2 linked regions of the Rattus norvegicus genome follow. The protein of the gene in region 1 purifies or fractionates together with the protein of each later gene. This does not show direct contact. Links are inferred from orthologs where the notes say so. Each region holds a gene or a part of one and is shown on either strand. Other genes may lie near its edges.

Region 1 (9,086 bases):
CCCTACTGGAACTATTCTGTAGAGACAAAGCTGTATGTGCCACCTCAATACCTCTGCCACCAGCTGCCACCAGGAACGCCCACTGCCCAGTCCTGGGCTGCAGCCACATGGGAGCTCCAGGTGGATGTAGGAAAGGGGCTGCCAGGCTGACCTTGCCGGGCCAGAGCTGGCACCGTGGCTGTAAAGGTGTAGACCTCTTAATAAATTGAGAATTATTAATTTCAGTTTGTTGCATTTCTCTTCTCTGATCGTGCCACTGCTTTACCTGGGAATGTCATGATCACCGGTAACTGTGCCTGCTGTCCCTGTGACCTGTGCTCTCCCGATCGTTGCTGAGCTGCACAAGGGCCTTGATGCAAGACTGGTCCTGTGCAAGCTGGCCGGCCTCTGATAGGGAAGATGCTATGAGGAAGAGGGAGGCTTGTCCTGGGAAACCACCTTGGAAAGGATCTGATCGTCTTTCACTGCAGTTGCTAGCTTACAGCCCCTCCCTCCTGGGAGGACTTGCTTGGTGGTTTAAAGCAAGCTTTATTAAGAAATGGACTCTGGTCAGGACCAGCCCCTGGGACTTCCCGGCTGAATGGCTGAATTAGGAGTCGTTATGAACGCAGACCTACCCAATCATTTTCTCCCACTTGGGCCCTTTTTACTTCTGAGTGGAACCAGGGAAGCGAGGTGAAGGATGGGGTAGGACTGACTTGCTGTGGGATACTTGAAGTGACTAGTCTCAGTTCTAGGTTTAAGTCCTCAGGATGCTAGGTCACATGAGACCTTGGATCACTGCCTAGGGTGGGCCAGGTTTGTAAATATAAACACTAAGAAGTGCTCTGAAGTTCTGTAAAACAGGATTCAGACCCGGCAGCTGACTGGAGATCAATCTGCAAAGCATTTGCCCAGCCTCCCTGGTGAGCTGGCTCTATCTGGAGAAGGCAGGCTTGACAGTGGGCCTTGACTCTCCCGAGAGCACACACCATCTCGTGTCATACAAATGCCGAGTAGGGATGAGGAGTTGAGCAGTGCTCTCTAGAACACGGAGTGCGTGACATGCAGGTCAAGGTCCTACCTCACCCACCAGCTCAGACACTACAAGTCTGGACTTAACTGTAACACATGCTCTCAGGTGTGGCGACTGGTGTTAACTCCCGGTGAGACCCTAGGGAGATCACAGGGGTTCCAGGCTGGAATAGCGAGGGCTCGATTAGGGAAGCCTTGAGTAAGGATGGTCTATAGCAAACTATGGAAAGACTGGTGCCAGCTGCCAGCTGCTCTAGCAAGCAGTCCTCAGGTCCCAGTGTCAACTGCAGACAGTTACACAGGGCCAGACCCGTGTGTGCACCTCTGGAGAAATGACAAGCCTGGCGGAGGCCCTCACTAGGGCACTGGTAACAACAGTCAGGGTTTATTGCCAACAGGACTCAACAGGAATACTAGGCCCAGGGCAAAGGAGTTGGCTCCCTCCCGACGCCCGGACCTTGCCCCATGGTTGGTAGCCACCCAGGGCTCAGGGCAGGCAGCTGGAGGAAGCTGGGCACTTGTCCCAGACCAGCTGCTGGCTTTATTGGTGGCCTAGATATCCCCACCCCCAACAACTCCCCCTCGGGCTCTAGAAACACAAATTTATTCAAAGTGTCAGGAGCAGGGCAGGCCAGGCCAGGCCAGGCCTCCGAGCCTGGGCCTCCGAGCCTGGGCCTCTGCAGCAGGAATTCCTGAGCCTCCAGAAACATGGGCTGTGACATCTGCTTTTTTCCTAGCTTCTAACTGGCTGGAAGGCCCCAGCTTTAGGAGGGCTGAATCGGCCATCGAGGTGGGCAGTGGACTGCCACACTAGTAGCCAGAAGGATGGAAACAGCAAGGGTGAGGGCGGCTTCCAGGTCTTCAAGGCTAGAGACAGCACCTGAGCAGGGGTTGCCCACAGCCATGGCACCCACACAAAGCCTGCTCTCCTGGGGCTCCCAGCATGGGTGCCCTAGCACCAGGCCCCCAGATGATGACCCCAGCCAGCCTACCTGCTCTCCCTGGCTCAGGGGTCACAGGTCATCCCCTTATCCCCGATAGCCAGCAGGGACCCTCTTTCTGTTGTTCACTTGTGGTCTCAGACTTTTGAGTCCAGAGGCAAGGAGGCCCTGGCTTGTGGCCTTTTCCCAGTGTGCTGACTAAACTTACAAGGAAAGAAAGAACTCGCAGCGTTCAAGCCATCTCAGATGTCCGCTGCAGATTTGTGGCTCAGGCCTGCTGGGTCCCAGCTGCTCTGGGCAGTTCCTACTAGAGATAAATAGAGTCACATCCACGTGAACTGTCCCACAGAGACCAGGCCCCTTGGGCAGGTGAAGGCTGGGGCCTTAGGGACACTGCTTTGGGCTCCAGGTGCAGGAGTTGGAGGCCTTTCAGAGGCCCCTTGACCGCTGCCAGACAGCCACATGAAGCCCAGGCATAGCCCCCAGCCAAACTGCTGAACACCTTAGGGGGCCTAGTAGTTCACAAGTTGAGCTGGGTAGACACCATCCTTCTTGTCGAGCTGCAGGGATCAAAGATGAGGGGCTCAGTAGAGGAGATAGAAGCATATGTACCACTGAGTGAGTGTAGCCCCCACTCCACTGCTGGCAAACTCCTCCCTAACCCAGCACCAATGCCTGGTACCTGGTTGTCCGGCCTGGGGGCTATGCTGGGTTTCTGGGCAAGAGGTGGCTTCTTAGTGGCCCCACTTCGGGGAGCTGGGCTGGGTCTGCTGGGTTCTTCTTCGCCAGGTGTCCCCATGCCCCCCGCCAGTACATAGTGCTGCTTCCGAAGCTCCCCGAGCCGTACGCGCTCTGCCTCTAGCGTCTTCTCCAGCTCCAAGACTCGCACCTGTGGGCCACAAACCCAACTCAGCGCTGCCCTGAGATCTTCCCCGGAGATCAGACCCTGGCAGCAGTGGGTGTGAGGGGCGAGGGGCGCACCTGTGTCTCCATCTCCTGCTTCTTCAGCTTGATGAGAGACAGGCCAGAGAAATCCATGGTGTCTGTGGTCGGGGGGGGGGGGGGGGGAGAAGTGAGTAGCTGAGACACCCCTCCCACCAGCTCTGGGAAGCCCCTTTCAATACCCGAGAGCTCGCCTCTGTCCTCGATCTGCTCCTGGCCAGACTTGGTGGAGGCCACCACATTGGCAGCCCTCTCGTTGACAGTGCGGGAACACTCCTGCAGGCGGCTCAGGTGGGGACTGTTCTTGTTGGCTTTTACCTGCAGGGAGCAGAGAGGGCATGGGTTGGTTGGCTGTAGGCAGCAGGTAAGGGCCCCGAGCCCAGGCCTGGCACACGTCAAACCTGGGGTGGTTAGAGGTCAGCAAAGCCTCACCTTCGAGGCTGCCACCAGCTGGGCAGTGCTGGCTGCAATCTCGTGTGAGCAGACGATGAGTTCCTCATATTTGCCCATGTGAAGCACAACCTTGTCAGCTGACTCCCTGAGGGATCAGGCCAATCTAGAGTCTGGGTTTCTGTATCATGAACAGTATGGCAAGCCCCACACCCAACCTTAACACCTTGCCCATCCCACCCAAACCCGGGTTGACATACACCAGCTGTGTGGCTCCCCAGCCCACTGCCTTCGAGGCAGAGATGAGGCCTTCAGTCCACCGTGAATTCTTGGCATAAAATTCCTGCTGTGTTGCTGCCCCCTAGTGGTAGTGGGAGAACAAGACAGGATGGTCCAATCAAGGACATTTTGGATCGTCCAGAGGCACACCCGAGACCTCCCTGAGACCTCCCTGAGATGTGGGGGCTTTTAGCTGTGGCAACAGACTGTGTTTGGGGGATGTCATGCACAAAGGAGTCAGGGGATCAGAGTTTATTTCTCTGACCCAGCCATGAAGGCTGCCAGACCACAGCTTACCCTGCCGCTCTCCACAATCTCCTTCTGCAGGCTGGTGGACGTCATCACCAGGAGCCGGATGGCCTGCCAAGACCAAGATGAGTGTGACTTTCAGGGTGGTCCTGGCACAAAACCCGCTCGGAGTCACTCACCCACTGCACTCACCTTCATCAGATCTGTGCAGGAGTTGAGGATCCTAGGGAGAGGCAGAGAGGAGAGAGAAGACAGCTCTGAAGTGTAGCCTTATGACATAATGCAGGCTTGGCCACACCAGGGCAGGGCAGGGCAGGGCAGGGGGTGTGCAATTTCTTGTCCTGCCCCTTTCTGGACTGCTCAACAGTCAGGCAGGTGGGATCTCATGGGTCCAGGGAAGCCGCTTCATGCTGGGGCTTTGGGGACGGAAGCTGTACTTACCTCTCGTTCACCTCTAGTTTCACCCCTGAGCTCTCGTGGCGGGCCTGGTTCATCATGTCCTGTACACAGTGACAGAGAATGAGCCCGCAGAGTCCAAGAACATCCTATCTGTCCCTGCTCAAATGCAGCTCTAGCCCCCTCAGTTCCCGCAGGAATTGGGAGAGTCCTGACACTCAGCCATCACCTCGATCCTCCGCACAGCGTCCTCAATGGCTGCAGAGGTGGCTGCCATCTCCTTGTCAACCATGGCCCCTAGCTCCTCTTGCCGGACGTCCAGGCTCTTAGGCTTCAGGTCCTGAAACAAGAGTCAGACATGTAGATTCAACTTCATCAGGGCCCAGGGAAAGATGGGCAGGAGGCAGACGACCAGGGTGGCAAGGGTGGTGTGTGCAGGTTCAGCCTTACTCACTGAAGCTGCAGCTTGTGAGCGCGCGCACACACACCCGTGAGCACACGCACCTGCTTACCTCCCTCGTGGAAAGGACAGATAAGTTAGCACCCCTTCAGCCCAGCTCAGTGCCTTGGCCGCACACCTCACCTGGCCCAACTGAAGAATGCCCTGCAGAGGGGCCCGCATCAGGCTGGGCTGGGCCCTCGGTAGCTTTGTCTGGTCCTGCAGCTGTCCCATGAGCTCCAGAGCCCGGGCTCCACACTCCCTGCACGTGTCGATCAGGCCTGTTGGGGTAAAGGGAAGGTCTATGAGGGGAACCTTTGCTTAAGAGTCCTGGATAAGGTCCCCACATGTCCTGGCCCAGGACTTGCCCAAAGGAAGGCCCTCCTTTCCCCTGAACACTGTGAAGACCCTCACTGTGTGAGACAAGATGAAAAGGCCACACCCTGTCACCATGATCTACTTACGGTCAGCGGGGTCAGTGGGGGCCAGGTGCGAGGTGGCGCCACCGTTGACAATGGTGTCCGCGGCCAGATGGGAGAAGCGGGTCAGTGCTGCTACCAGGGCGGAAGCATCTGCAGGGACAAAGGCCAAGGCTGCGGGTGGGAGCGATGGGGTATTTGTGTGGGGAACACCAAGACGAGTGTACCATTTTCTCAGTGAGTCTGGGCTAAGGCTCCAGCACCCCAGCATATGAAAACAGGGGGGTGCTGAAAAGGCTAGGCGGCCACCAAGCAGAGTCAGGGTGACTCCAGACCCCCTGTCCTCCACTTCTGCAGATCACTAATGTCAGCCAGGTAACAGGCACAAGGCTCTAAGGAGCAGCACGGTGCCTGTCTCCTCGGGAACCCCACACCAGGTGCCTCTAGCTGCAGTGACCCCACAGAAACGGCAGATTCACACCACCCCCAGCCGTACTCACCCTCAGAGGAAGCCAGGTACTGGGTGTGGCCCTTCTCCAGGCCACTCACGCTGTCCAGGGCTGCCTGAGCCCGGCTCACTAAGTAGTCTGCAAGCAGAGAGGACAAGCACCTCAGCCAGGGCTTCTAGGGCCCGGGTGGCGGGTGGTGATGTCACTGGCAGGTGAGCAGCCATCTGCACAGAGGGGGAGGTGCCCGCAGCACAGACCTGGGGAGCTGGTGCAACGGAGGTGCAGGGGGTCATCCAGCTTGCTCACTGCGTCCTGCAGGATGGCCTCCGCCTCGGCGGCTGCACCTCGCAGCACTGCAAACTGTTCATCCAGCAGCTTCTGCTGGAGCCCCTGCTCCTGAGACTCCTGATGGGGAGGTGGGACCTTCAGACCCCCAAGGCCCAGGGCTTCCCTCCGAGGACTGACAGTTGACAGTGACTGCCCCCAACCCGCTGACCCCCTGTGGAAGGATCCCTGATCCAACTGGGGTGGAGATTTCTAGACCATCTCCCTACCTCCTAGGACTTGGAGGACTCATGTAGGGAGGTGGGGACACAGGACAGGGCAAACAGAGTGAGAAACAGCCCAGGACCTCGACAGACTTATCCCAAGGCCACTGAGCACACAGAAAGATGTTCTATGGGCTGCCAAGATGGCTCAGAGGGTAAGGGTGCCTTCCACCAAACCTGACAACCTGAGTTCAATCCCTGGGACCCAGGTGGAAGGAAAGAACTATTGCAGGTTGACCTTCGATCCCCATATGTATTCCCCCGCCCCCGAACACAATAAATACAACTTTAAAAGTAAAAGGATATTCAGTATCATTAGGCGACTAGAAAATGCAAATCAGAATCGCAATCAACAGCCCTGGGTGACAGAACACACCCAGCACTCAGAAGGCTGAGGCAGGAGGACTACCCTGAATTTGGGGCAAACCTGGAGCCTTGAACCCATACAACTGGTCACAGTGAGAAGACAGTAATGAGAACTTGGAGGCCTGGTCGGGAGGAAGCCTGGGGCTTCTTTCGGAGAGCCGAGTCTGTCTCGGCAGTAAGGGCGCCAGGTCCTGAGCGCGCAGGGTGAATGCTGACTCGCCCATACCAAAAGGGTGAGTTCCCCACAAGGAGGACGGCAAGGTGGAGGCCTCGTACCTTTTCTGCCAGCCGCCCCTGTAGCTCGCCCTTCTCCTGGGCGCTGCGCTGCTGCTCTTGGCTAAGAGCCTCTTCCTTCTCCCGCACCAGGCTCTGGGCAGCCAGCAGCTCTGCCTCACGCTGCCGAATGGCTCCGCTCAGTGCTTCCTTCTCTGCGTTCAGTGTATCTAGCCGTGAGCTCAGCTCTGACCCACTCTGTGAACGTGAAACATGTCAACAGCCATGACGAACCTACCTGGCCTTACTCCCTAAGTTACAGCCTACCACGCAGGGCGGTGTCTTATTATCACTGCCTCCCAAGACACGAGAGCTTCCTGAGGGTCAGGCCTCCACCTGGCCTCCTTGAGGACCCACGGCCACATAAGTATGGCCCAACCCACAGGCCAGGGGACCTGGCTTGTCCCAGCCTGACCCCAGCACCACTGGGGAGCCCCTGGCTAGCAGGCACCTGTTCCGTGCGGCTCAGGGCCTCCTGGGCATGGGCCAGCTCTCCTGCCTTGGCCACCAGCTCCCTCTTGAGCTTCTCCAGCTGGTCACTCTGCTCCTCCATCTAGGACAGGGCTGCGTGTCAGTAGGGCAGCGGGGCAGGGAGGTGCGTGTGCGGGGGCGGGGCGCGCACTGAGCACACCTTCATCTCAGACTCCCGCTTCACTTGCTCCATCTGGAAGGCCAGCTGCTCCTTTACCCGTGCCACCTCCTCCTGGCTCTGCTGTGTCACCGTCAGCTGCTTGGCTGTGTCTGCATTCTAGAAGGCAGGGCACGGGTTCTGACTCTGGTCCCGGCCCACACCGCCCTTCCTGAGGCTGGGCACCCACCTTCCTGAGCAGCTCGGCATGCGTGTTAATGAGTTCATTGTGCTTCTCCTTCAGCTTGCTGTAGCGTGCCTCAGTGGCACTGGCCTTCCCTGCAGAGAGGCGAGGCTGAGTGGAGTGGGCAGGCAGGGTAGGCTCTGCCCCTCACCCTTCGCCAGGCGCCACCCGCGGTACACACTCTCCGCCTCCTCTCGCAGGCCCTGGTTGCGCGCGCCTTCCAGCTGCAGGGCTTTCAGCTGGGCCAGCTCGTGGCGCAGCTGCTCGTTGTCCACCAGGGCCTTCTGCTTCTGCTTCCGCTGCTCCTCCAGCTCTGCCTCCAGGCTGTTCACCTGGCCCTTCAGCTGCGAGATGTACCGCTGGGCCTGCAGGGCAGGGAAGGGAGCGTGGGTCCCCGGCCCCGCTGGCTGCGTGGGGACCGCCGCCTGGGGCCCCCCGTGGCCACACCCCTCACCTCCATCTTAATCTTCTCCAGCTCAGCACGGAGGGTCTCCACCTCTCTCTTCAAGTTCTCAATCTGGAGGTCCCTGGAGACAGAGGTCCTGGGCTCAAGTTCATCAACCAGAAGGTTCCAGACTGCCCAACTCAGATCTCAGATGTCACTAGTAGCCGCTCAGGAGTGGGGTGTTTCATTTCTCTTAAGTTCCTACTGTGGCCTTTCCAGGCACAAGGCTTTTTCTAGCCTCCCCATCCCAGCTGGCCCCTGGGGACTCACCTGTCATCCTTCATGGAGCCATTGGGGGGTCCAAAGGTCTGATCAAAGAGGTCAGCCACCACCTGCTGACCATAGCAGAGAACATGGACCTGTGACCCGGGCACCTATGCCCTAGAGGCACCCTACATTTTACCCAGCCTTGGGGACTAGCAGAGAGGACCTTACCACTGGCTCCCCAGCAGGGGGCCCACTGCTGATCTCAATTAGGTTCTCAGGCTCCTCCTCCTCCGGGGCCTCTTCTGGAATCACCACCACCGGCTTGATGTGCTCAGCCAGGGCTGAGGCCCGCAGGAAATTGGGGGGTCCCTGTAGGGACAGTGTTTGGAAGATGCTCAGCAATCCCCACAAGACTTTTGAGAACTCATCCAGAGCCTGCAAGGAACCAGGGGCTGCTGTGTGGGGCGGGGGTGGGGGCAGCGGGGACGGGCACCTCAGGCAGTCTGGGGATCTGGATGAGTCGCTTGAAGTAGAGCATGTCCGAGGCTCGGCGGAAGAAGTTTCTGAGACTGCGGGTGGAGGGAGACAGGTCAGAGAGGGCATCAGGCCTCTTTCCAGCCGTGCTGTAGCACTGCTCCCCAGGGTTGGTACCTGTGAAACTGCTCGTGGAACCGATCCCTGTGGCCTTGCAGGGTGTCTGCTGGGAGACCTGAGGGATAGCACAAGTCAACAGTGCTTCCTCTGCACGCTGCTCTGAGGCCTGCTTTCCCTCTCTGCCCCTCAAGTTTCCAGACCCACTGCCGAGTGGAGGGGTCCCTGTGGCCTGGCCAGTCCACCCTAATTGGGAAGGGAGATGAGACTCCATGGGGTCACCTTAGCTCTGACGCAGGCCAGAGAAGGTGGCACTGAGCAGACAC
Region 2 (10,051 bases), on another chromosome or scaffold:
ACGCTGGGGCATACTAATCAATATCTATTTTACAAGAAATATTGGAAAAGATACTTATGGAAGCAATGCTTAGGTTCTTAGGCACTACTTTTTTTTTTAATCTAAGGTTGTAATAAATCATGTTAAGAATAAATTACCCTACTTTCCAAAAACTATATTTAGAAATATACTTACAATTCCATATCCTATCATGCCCGTTGGTGTAGTAGCAGGATAGGCCATTACAGGGGGTGCCTGATATGGCAAAAGAAAAAGTAAAACAGGAAATGTTAATTCCTGCATCTCATGCATTTAAAGGATTGTCAGATTCCTATTTAAAACAAATTGCTAAGACAGCTATGATTAAGTGACATTAATGATTACTGGAAACTGTGAATTAATACTCAGTGAGAAAAATTCAAAATTAGCAGAAAAGCAAAATTGTTAAAAGAAAAAAAAAAAAACCACTTAAGCTTAGACTCGACCTAGTCTACGAACACAACATACTTTACAGCTTATAGCTTTCAAAGACTCTGACAGAGTACTTGTCCTATCCACAGCTATACCAAAATAAGAAAACAATTAGTCTTCAGGTATTTAAAAATATCCAAAAGTTCCAAACTCTAAAGCCCATCATTTTCATAAAAAATGTTTATCAAGAAAAACATAATATGGACTGTTTCTTAATGTGTTTCTTTAGTACTAGAAGGAAAAAACCCTAATGATCCCATATCAATTATGTTAAAAAAAAAAAAAAACACAGGGAGACCTTGAGTTACTACTCCTATGATGACAGCTTTCACATAGGTAGCTGTATTTTAACTTTTTAATTTGTTCTAAAACTATCAAATACTTAAGAGGAACAACTGTAAGTGATATTTTAGTGAGGATTCCTTGTCCTACTTCTTTTATTGATGACTTGTAAACATACTAGAAACATACTATTTTAGATATGGCTGCTGTCTTAACAATATTCCCTACATCTCTCTCATAAAAAGCTAAAATTGAATACAGGTGAAAGACCAAGAACACAGCTAAAATGTTTGAAAACATGAAATTATGCAGCAGTTTGAACATATGCATGAAGTTAACTAAAGCGTAACTATAAAAATAACACTGAAGAGTGGAGTTTAGTATTTAGGTGAGCATGTAGGGAGTATTGGTCTCTCCCTACTGCAAAACCAAGATCTACAAGAGCAGTAAGACAAACTGCCAAGTACAGCAGAAGCCTGGAAGGTTACATGCAATCGTTATTTTAAACATTACCACAGTCAACATTTCTCTTCATTCAAAAGTCATCAAGTGCATGGTGGCAGCACAGATACACACAGACACCCAGCCATCTGGCAGCAAATGGCGGAATATTAAAGCAAGAAAGAAAAATTGGTATTTCCCATGCCACCATCAGAATCAATTCTGCAACACACCCATGAAGATCAGTAGATGCTAGGAATAATTTGTGGCACACTGAAAATCTGATGTGAAAACAAGGAATAGCCGGAAGGTTATGAGATTCTGCTGCAGCGGTGGTTAATAGCATGCCAATTTATTGCAAAAAAAAAAAGAAAAAAAGAGGCTAGTTTTTGGTCACTTACGTATTGTGGAAAATGCATGCCATTCTGTTTTTCCCAGGGAGAACAATTACATAATGCAATAACACTGGATTAGAGCAAGTACTTACACAACAAAATACACAGAGAGCATTTTAGTTTACATGTACATTCACTACCTAAAATTCTGGGTATTTTTATATCTAATAACATTTGTTACCAAAACACTATCAAGGTTGAAAAGGGTTGAACTTAGCTATCTTCCTTTATATACACAATCCTTTACTATCTACAAATGTATTTAAAACAAAGTAGTGACATCAGTTAAGGAAAATTCAAGGGCATTCTCAAAATAATGTGACACCACATGTCTACCACCAGGGCAGGACCATCAATGAAAAGAGTTTGTGGCATAACAGATATTTTAATAAAATAAATGTATTTATTTACAATTTTAAAAATTAAAAACCTTGACAGTGTTTAAGAATTAATCAAAAGGTTAGAAATGTAAAGAAACACCATAAGCAGCAGTTTATTCTCAGTGAGTCACATCACAGGCCCCACATGTTAGCCCTCAAAAAATAAACTATCAACCATACACAAATACCTTAAGATATCTTAAGAGATGACTCACACTAACGTATACAATACACTGTTATTTTGACAATTTACATACAATGCTAGATGGTTAGGTGTTTATTACATTCTAGTAGTCAATTTTAAGGTAAATACTACCTAAAGCTTTCGGATGGATACTGACTTAACATTAAATAAGCAAATACCCACTGTGACTTCATATTAGTTGTAGTACTTACAGCACTGCACAGACATTATTAATGAATAATCCTATCTGCAGCCAGAAAGCCCACTAACCTAACTGTGGCCAGCAGTTTTAGTCACTGAGGAATGCCATAATGGAAAAACACTAGATTCAGAATCAGGTTTCAACTTAAATCAGTTTTTCAACCTCTATTCACATGGGGATTTAAAAAAAGCAGCACAGATAATATTGTACTTCAAAGTGATGCATGCATATATATATATATACATGCATGCTCCAACTCTCCTGAGAGAACACTATATTCTTACACTTACTTTAAGTCATGTGCATATGCTGTGTTTGTATGTAAAAACCTAAACTATGCAGCCAGACATGGTGTTAGAAACCTGTGATTCCAGTATTTGGGAGGCCAAGGGAGAAGGATGGTACATTTGAAGCTGATTTGGACCACTTAGTAAATTCAGAGTCAGTTTGGGCTCTATAACAAAACTTTTGCACAGGCTCACACCTGCCTCCTTAAAACAAAACAAAACAAAACCAACAAAATTAAACTTGAGTCTTTTATTTTATAAAGTCTAAAGCTATTAACTCTTTTAAAAGTAGTCAAGGGCTGGAGAGATGGCTCAGCAGTTAAAAGCACTGACTGCTCTTCTAGACACCCTAAGTTCAATTCCCAGCAACCACATGGTGGCTCACAACCATCTGTAATAGGATACAATGCCCCCTTCTGGTGTGTCTGAAGACAGCTGTAGTGTACTCACTACTTAAAATAAATAAATAAATCTTTAAAAACCCCAAAACTTTTGTTAGTACACAGATTTAGCCTCAGCCCACAATTTTAGCATATAAGCAACCCAAAGTAAAGAGAGCAATATCCTACAAGGGACTTTATTAAACACAATGGAGCTTTCTAACAACAACTGGGCGGGGGGGGGGGGGGGGGGGAGTTAGACTATACAGCACCTAAGTGATCAAAACCCTGCTATCATCCCGCTGAAAGAAAGGGGTATGTATTTCCCTGACTAAGGGAGAAGAAACTTGGTAGACGAAGATAAAGCAGGCCAAAGATGGAAAAGTGGTCATAAGCTATTCTGGGTTCACAATGCCTTACAGTAGTTAAAACATCAATAGAACTTCTTTAGTTCTAGCTGCTACTTAACTAACAAACACTGTTAATATCTGTTTGGTATTAAGTGAACTTTATAATCTCCAAGTTCAACATTCACAGTACTTTCATGAACATGTGCAGAGGTATATAAATTGTTCATTCCTCAGTAAGATGTAATAAATTAGAGGTTCTGCCTCCAAATTTTGGAATTACAGGCCATGCACTAGTATGTCTGGCTTAGAATGCAGCTTTTTAGGATGTGAAATTAAAATGTGAAATATATGAATGTTTCCCCTAGCAACGGCTCACTAATTCAGTTATCAGGGGGACCTCAATCAAATATTGAGTGGCCACAAATAATTGGAATCAACTTCACAAACTATATAATACTAAGAAAACCTAAGAAAATAAATTGTTTACTCATCATCAGGTCTAAAGGATATAAGGATTTTAGGTTACAAAAAAGAAATAAATTTGAGAGCAACAAGACAGTATGATTAAGAGCTCCCTATCTGTTGCTTCTAGGTGACACACTAAGTATGTATTCCATTACTCAAGAACTCTGCAACACTGCTGCACTTCTTAGTAACTGTGTTTGTACCAAGTGGGAGAAAAATAATAGCTCTTATCACAGTCACACAATATGCACTAGAATGATGTCTAGTATGGAATCATTTTAAATACAGGTTAGGGGTTAAAATGTGCCTGACAAAGACAGCCAATCAGCTTTAAAGAAACAGTGAAGTACTTAATAAAACAGTAATAATGTTTCTACTTATGTCTATGTTACATTTTTGTTATAGTTCAGGTAGTAATATGTAACTGTTCCAGCTCACCATTGTTGCAGCACTCCAGGCAGTTGTTGGTGCAACCTTTGGTTGCCAGTTAGATCCTCCAGTTAACTTCTTTTCACCTGGTTGACTCCAACTTACATCACTTTAAATGAACACAAACACACAATGTTTCTGTACAATATGAGCATACTGAGCATTTACAGTACCAAGCTGACATCGCTAAATGTACGTCTGAAGTGATGGTAACATCAGGTTCTATCTAATAGTTAAATAAGACAAATAAGACACTTACTTCTTAGTGGTTCCATTTCCAATGCCAAGATCTAAGAAAAGAGAAAAGTATTTAAAAACTAGAATCATATTAATAAACAACTTACGCTTAAGGATGACTGAAGAAGCAAAGGACTACTTACTGCCCACAAGGTTGGCTAAAGATGAATCCAAGTCATCAGACACTAATTTGTTAGGCGCAAGTTTGGCAACAGGAAGACTCTGGTTCTGAGAGGCCACTGTTGGTTTGAGAAGTCCACCTAGTTCATCAAAGCCTTAAAGTTACAAACAGATGAAATGGGATGCGTAAGGAACTTCATGGGCTACAGCTTTCTAAGGAGTTCTCTCCCTTTTCTCCTTGTTTACTCACTGGAAGTTTTCCCAGAACACGGGAAATGCCCTCACGTGGAAAGAAGAAAAATCTGCCATCTTCAAGTGAACGTAACAGAAATAGTATGCCTAAGATCTAATGACAGAATCATATCCAGGTTAAAGGGGGCGATAACAAAACACTATCAAAGGGGATTGTAAATCTCTCCCTATTCCAGCACAATTTTCCTAAACACTCAATCCTCAAGTCCCTTTTTATGTTGAGAAAGAATATTTTATAATGTCTTACATTGGAGCTGAAGAAATGGCTGAGAGATTCTCTGTAGGCACATCAGGTGGGACCACTGTAACCTGAGCCCAGGGTGCCCAATGTCTCTAGCCTCTGCAAGCACTTGCACTCATGTGCAGGAACCTGCCCACCTCTGTACACACAATTTTAAAATATTAAATCTTTTAACTTAAAAAAATAAGAAAAAAAAAAAAAGGTTGACAGGTCTTCACTGCATAGCTCTAACTGGGCCAGAACATCTATGTAGACCAGGCTGACATCGAATTCAGAGGTCTACCAATCTTTGCCTTCCTAGTGGTGGAATTAAAGGCATACCAACATGCTCAGCCACAATAAACTGTTTTTTAAAAAAACATGTATGTGTATGTGTCAAAGGAAAACCTGAAGGAGTTTATTCTCTCCTCCAATGTGAATCCTGGAGACTGAACTAAGGTTATGAGGCTTTGCAGTTAAGCATCCTTACCACTGAGCCATCTCACATGCCCAAGAGGGCATACATTATAGAGAGCTTCTCACCCTGCTCCTACGTCAGGGACTGGAGAGATGAGTCCCTTGGTTCCCTTTACCACATGGTGGCTCACAACTGCCTACTATAACTCTAGTTCTAGGGAATCCAATGCCCTCTTCTGGCCTCCAAATGCGCCTATGTGCACATGCAAATGATCTTTCAAATATAAAACTATAAACCTATTAGTATACACTAAATAAAGTCTTTGTCCATGCAAACAAGCTTGCTTCTTACTTTATGGATAACTAATTATATATTATGTAACTAAAAACACCTCAATATGTTTTAAAGTTAAAATTTAATTGTTAGTCAAAGTCAGTGGTCATTTCCTTTTAGGAGTAAAATTAGAACATTAAAGTTCATATGTACTTTATAAACTTCAAGCTAACAAGAAACAAAGTACAATCCTCATTCTAGAGTTTTATAGTTTTTAAAATACAAATTAGTAGGTGTACCTTAATAATAATCACTATTAAAATAATTTCCAAAAAAGCCTTTAACCTTTTAACATACTCTACTTACTTATGTAGAACCTATCTAAACACGTCAGGGTACTACTCACTATGTCCTCAGTTTAAAAAATAACCTCACACACTGTAATACTGAATGGTCAGTATTCACTTCAGCACAAAAAAAATTATGACTGAAAAGCTATATAGCACTTTCCAAATAGTCACTAACAATTTAGCACTTTACCAAGAAGTTGTTCTCTTATTGTGCAATGGAACAAAGAAAACTTCTCTAAACTCTAAAATGCTACCAAGAAAAAGGTAAAATTAATACTCTAAGTTCCCATCAAGTGGTTTGGGGGAAGAAGATCAATTTACTCTAACTTATAAACACTAAAAGCAGCATCACGTTTTCTATAGAGGATCTACATTAAAATGCTATCATATTTTAAATAAAAACAACAAAAATTCGTTTCTTACCACCAGAATCTACAGCAACATTCGTAGACTTATTTCCAAACACAGATTCAAAGTCAACATTAAGGCCAGCTGAAGGATGTGGCTGTGTAACCGGAGAAGGACTGAATCCTAAGAAAAAGCAAAATGCAAAAATCCTCAATTCTCTACATACTACATCAATAGTTAAATATAAATGTGAAATATATGAATTACCTTTAAATTCACTTAATTCACTTATGAATTACCTTTAAATTAATTTAAATCACTATAAATTACATTTAATAATGGTAATAGAACTGGGAAAGTAATAAATTCCTTAACAAAAAAAGCTAGTTTTTAAAACAAAAGTTTTATCCATTAGATATCACATTCCTGTTTTTTAAAGACATAGTATCACATTGTGGTCCAAATGATCCTCTTGTCTCAGCACCCAAATGCTGAGATTATAGGTATGAACCATCAACACCAGCTACATTTCCATTAAAATCTCCCACTAAGAAAACGCAGAATAAACAACATATATTGAACCATGAGTTTACTTCATCATAGAAATGAAACTTTTTCCTGTATTTTATATTAATTTTGCATCTTATAATTTCTTAAAACATGAAGTCATTTAAAACACCATGCTATCTCTCTTCCTACAACCTTCTGTAGTCTGTATCTCTTACCTACTTTCGCTTTCCCTACTTCACCCAAATGGTCACAATTAAAAGAAAACGGTTTTCCTGTTACATTTATTTGTGTGTGTCTGTGTATATGCTTGTGGGCATGCATGTGCTACAGTCAGAAGACAACTCTGAGTGTTAGTTCTTTTTTTCCACCATGCAAGTTTGGGATACAAATTCAGGTCTCACTGCTTGGCAGAAGCCACCTTTAACCCACTGAGCCGTATCACTGCCCCCAAAATTATATGGTTTAAGATAATCTGAGAACTGCCAGGATTCTAAAAGTTGCAATCTCACAAATGTTTCTGCCTGTTTTTAAAACATATTAAAAAAAAATTCTTCTTTCAACTCCCATTTACTCTCTCAATTCACTTACCATTTTTAACAATAGGAATGACGGGTATGGGACCAAGTATGTTAATTAACCTAAAGCTAGCCTGAAACACAGCCCCATACAACAAAACAACCTCACTTTCTAATTTTATCCCGGACCTAATAGTGCTATCATAACAAGTACCAAGATTGAGTCTTGGAGGCCTGCTAATGCCGAGTAAACATAAAAGCTTTAATTCTCAGGTTATATTTTCCTAAAGTTGAGTATGTAAAATTATAGAAGCTAAAAATAATTAAAAACCATCTAAAAAGGTTACCTATTGCATGACTTGAGGAGCTTTGAATCACTAAAAATATTTAGGTAAATAGTCTGCAAAGGATCCCAAAAAGAGATTCTTATATGAGGCTGTAGTGACTTTCTTCTAAAATCTCTTGCTTCCTAGGTTCTATCAAGTCAGAATGAAAAAAACATAAATAAAAGCACCTGATTTTAGAAGGTTAGCATTTATATCAACAAGGGAACTTCTCAAGTTCTACACAGATTCTCTTTCTCCCAGAGAGGAGACCCATCTTCAAAACCTCACTTAATTTCCCAAGGATATGAAGAACACTGCTGGCTTAAGCAATTTTAAGAGTTTTTGTTTCTTACTTACTCTTTCTCTGTGTGTGTGTGTGTGTGTGTGTGTGCGCGCGCGCGCACACGTGCACATACATAAGCAGGATCCTGTGGAGTAAAAGGCATCAGATCTCCTGGAACTAAAGTCACAGACACCTGTGAGCTGCCATGTGATCTGAGAACTGACTGGATCCCCTGAGAAAGCAGCCAGTGCCCAGCCCCTCAGCTATCTCTCCAGCCCTCCAATGGCTTTTTGATACCCTTCCTTACAAAGTGTTGTACATATTAGTGATCCCAGTTTAAACTAGTATCTGCGGTTATAATATGAATATTTAAGATCCATAGGTTTTTAAAGCCTTGTTTAAACCCTTAAATTACTTTTACTTTAAAAACACTGGTCTCAGGATGTGAAACAAATACATAGTATAAAATCATTTAGTATTTACATCTTTTGACCAGTCTTTCAAAAGGATCTCAGAATTCTAGACTCTTGGATTTATTAACATTATAAGTGTTCAACACTTTAACATTCTATGGGCTTAATAATAGTTCTTATCAGAGCTTCTTTTTTAAAAAATATTTCTTTATTTCTTTCTTTCTTTATTTATTTACTTATTATGAGTACACTATAGCTGTCTGTCTTCAGACACACCAGAAGAGGGCACCAGATCTCATTACAGATGACTGTGAGCTACCATGTGGTTGCTGGGATTTGAACTCAAGACCTCTAGAAGAGCAGTCAATGCTCTCACCCAGAGCCATCTTTCCAGCCCTTCCCATAGCTTCTTAAGTGCAAAACATTATAGTGCTTACACATGTGCTCATGTTACCACCACATTGTAAGATGTATGCTACTTCAAGGACTTTTGGATTAATCTTGGCTAAAGGAACACTACCCTATTGGCCATATACGTAACAATAATTTATATCTAGTACATTATAGCTAATGCTCAATTTCTTTTATAATGTCCCTTTATAGCAATCTTAAAACAACTTCATTATTTCCTATTATAGGAGAACCATCTTCTCAAGTCTTTAAGGTGATTAATTGAATAACTAAAAAATAATTAGCTATAAGTACAAAAAGAAAGGTTAAAAAGGAAAAAAAAAAAAACAACACCAAAACATGTACCTCAAGTCTAAAAAAAAAAGATCCTACATAGACAAAAATGTAATTTCAAATAATTTGTAATAATGTCTGGGGAAACATATTTCTAAGATAGTCATCTTTTCTGTATGTACATGTGCATGTACACATTGATATAGGTAGATAAATGTATAATAAATGTACATATAAGTTATAATTATATTAATTATAATAACTGTAATAAAAGTAAAGATATGATTAACATAACATTCTTCTGTCACTTTTTCAGTTACTTAGCAGGATTCTCAACTTAAAAAGCTACTTCAAACAAAAACACAAAACCTCAATGTTGAGCCAACGAGATGGCTTAGCAGGTAAAGATCTTGCCATGGAAGTCTCATCCTGAGACCAATCACCAGAACTCCATAGCAGAGAACCAACTCCACAAACTAACCTCCATGTCAGGGCATGGCATACACACACCACACAAACACATCCTACAAACATATAGGTACATAACACTGAGGAAAGCTACAAAAACAAAAACACTTTCAGAGAGTAGAAGCAGAAGGCATCTGGGGCTAATCTGGGCCACATGGTGAAACACTACCTCAACAAACAATAAGCAAACAACAAACCCAACTAACACCACTACTTCAAAAGATACACTCTAAGGAGAAAGAGGAAGGGAGACAGAGAGAAGAGAGGGAGAGAGGAGAAAAGAAGGAGGGAGGGGAAGGGAAGGAAGAAGGGGAGAGGGAGAGAGGAGGAGGGAGGGAGAAAAGAAAGAGAAAGAACCTACTCTTGCTTTACCTAAGACCCTGAGAAAA

The links.
Region 2: the proteins of Hip1r (region 1) and Picalm fractionate together in Homo sapiens (co-fractionation; 3 studies listed by BioGRID and IntAct, with this or other methods). This does not show direct contact. The link is inferred for Rattus norvegicus from reciprocal best matches to the Homo sapiens genes HIP1R and PICALM.

What each region holds. Positions count from the first base shown.
Region 1 is NC_086030.1:38,249,713-38,258,798, forward strand, and holds the end of Hip1r (huntingtin-interacting protein 1-related protein), read right to left. Parts: intron 8,879-9,086; coding exon 8,821-8,878; intron 8,739-8,820; coding exon 8,663-8,738; intron 8,539-8,662; coding exon 8,398-8,538; intron 8,298-8,397; coding exon 8,233-8,297; intron 8,045-8,232; coding exon 7,972-8,044; intron 7,883-7,971; coding exon 7,699-7,882; intron 7,613-7,698; coding exon 7,524-7,612; intron 7,454-7,523; coding exon 7,337-7,453; intron 7,259-7,336; coding exon 7,157-7,258; intron 6,904-7,156; coding exon 6,709-6,903; intron 5,924-6,708; coding exon 5,776-5,923; intron 5,657-5,775; coding exon 5,570-5,656; intron 5,244-5,569; coding exon of another isoform or gene 5,223-5,243; coding exon 5,115-5,222; intron 4,932-5,114; coding exon 4,795-4,931; intron 4,552-4,794; coding exon 4,441-4,551; intron 4,316-4,440; coding exon 4,257-4,315; intron 4,039-4,256; coding exon 4,008-4,038; intron 3,927-4,007; coding exon 3,864-3,926; intron 3,649-3,863; coding exon 3,548-3,648; intron 3,436-3,547; and 11 more. UniProt on the Homo sapiens protein: Component of clathrin-coated pits and vesicles, that may link the endocytic machinery to the actin cytoskeleton. Binds 3-phosphoinositides (via ENTH domain).
Region 2 is NC_086019.1:153,528,001-153,538,051, reverse strand, and holds part of Picalm (phosphatidylinositol-binding clathrin assembly protein), read right to left. Parts: intron 6,647-10,051; coding exon 6,539-6,646; intron 4,758-6,538; coding exon 4,626-4,757; intron 4,536-4,625; coding exon 4,505-4,535; intron 4,355-4,504; coding exon 4,255-4,354; intron 1,599-4,254; coding exon 1,575-1,598; intron 235-1,574; coding exon 175-234; intron 1-174. UniProt on the Homo sapiens protein: Cytoplasmic adapter protein that plays a critical role in clathrin-mediated endocytosis which is important in processes such as internalization of cell receptors, synaptic transmission or removal of apoptotic cells.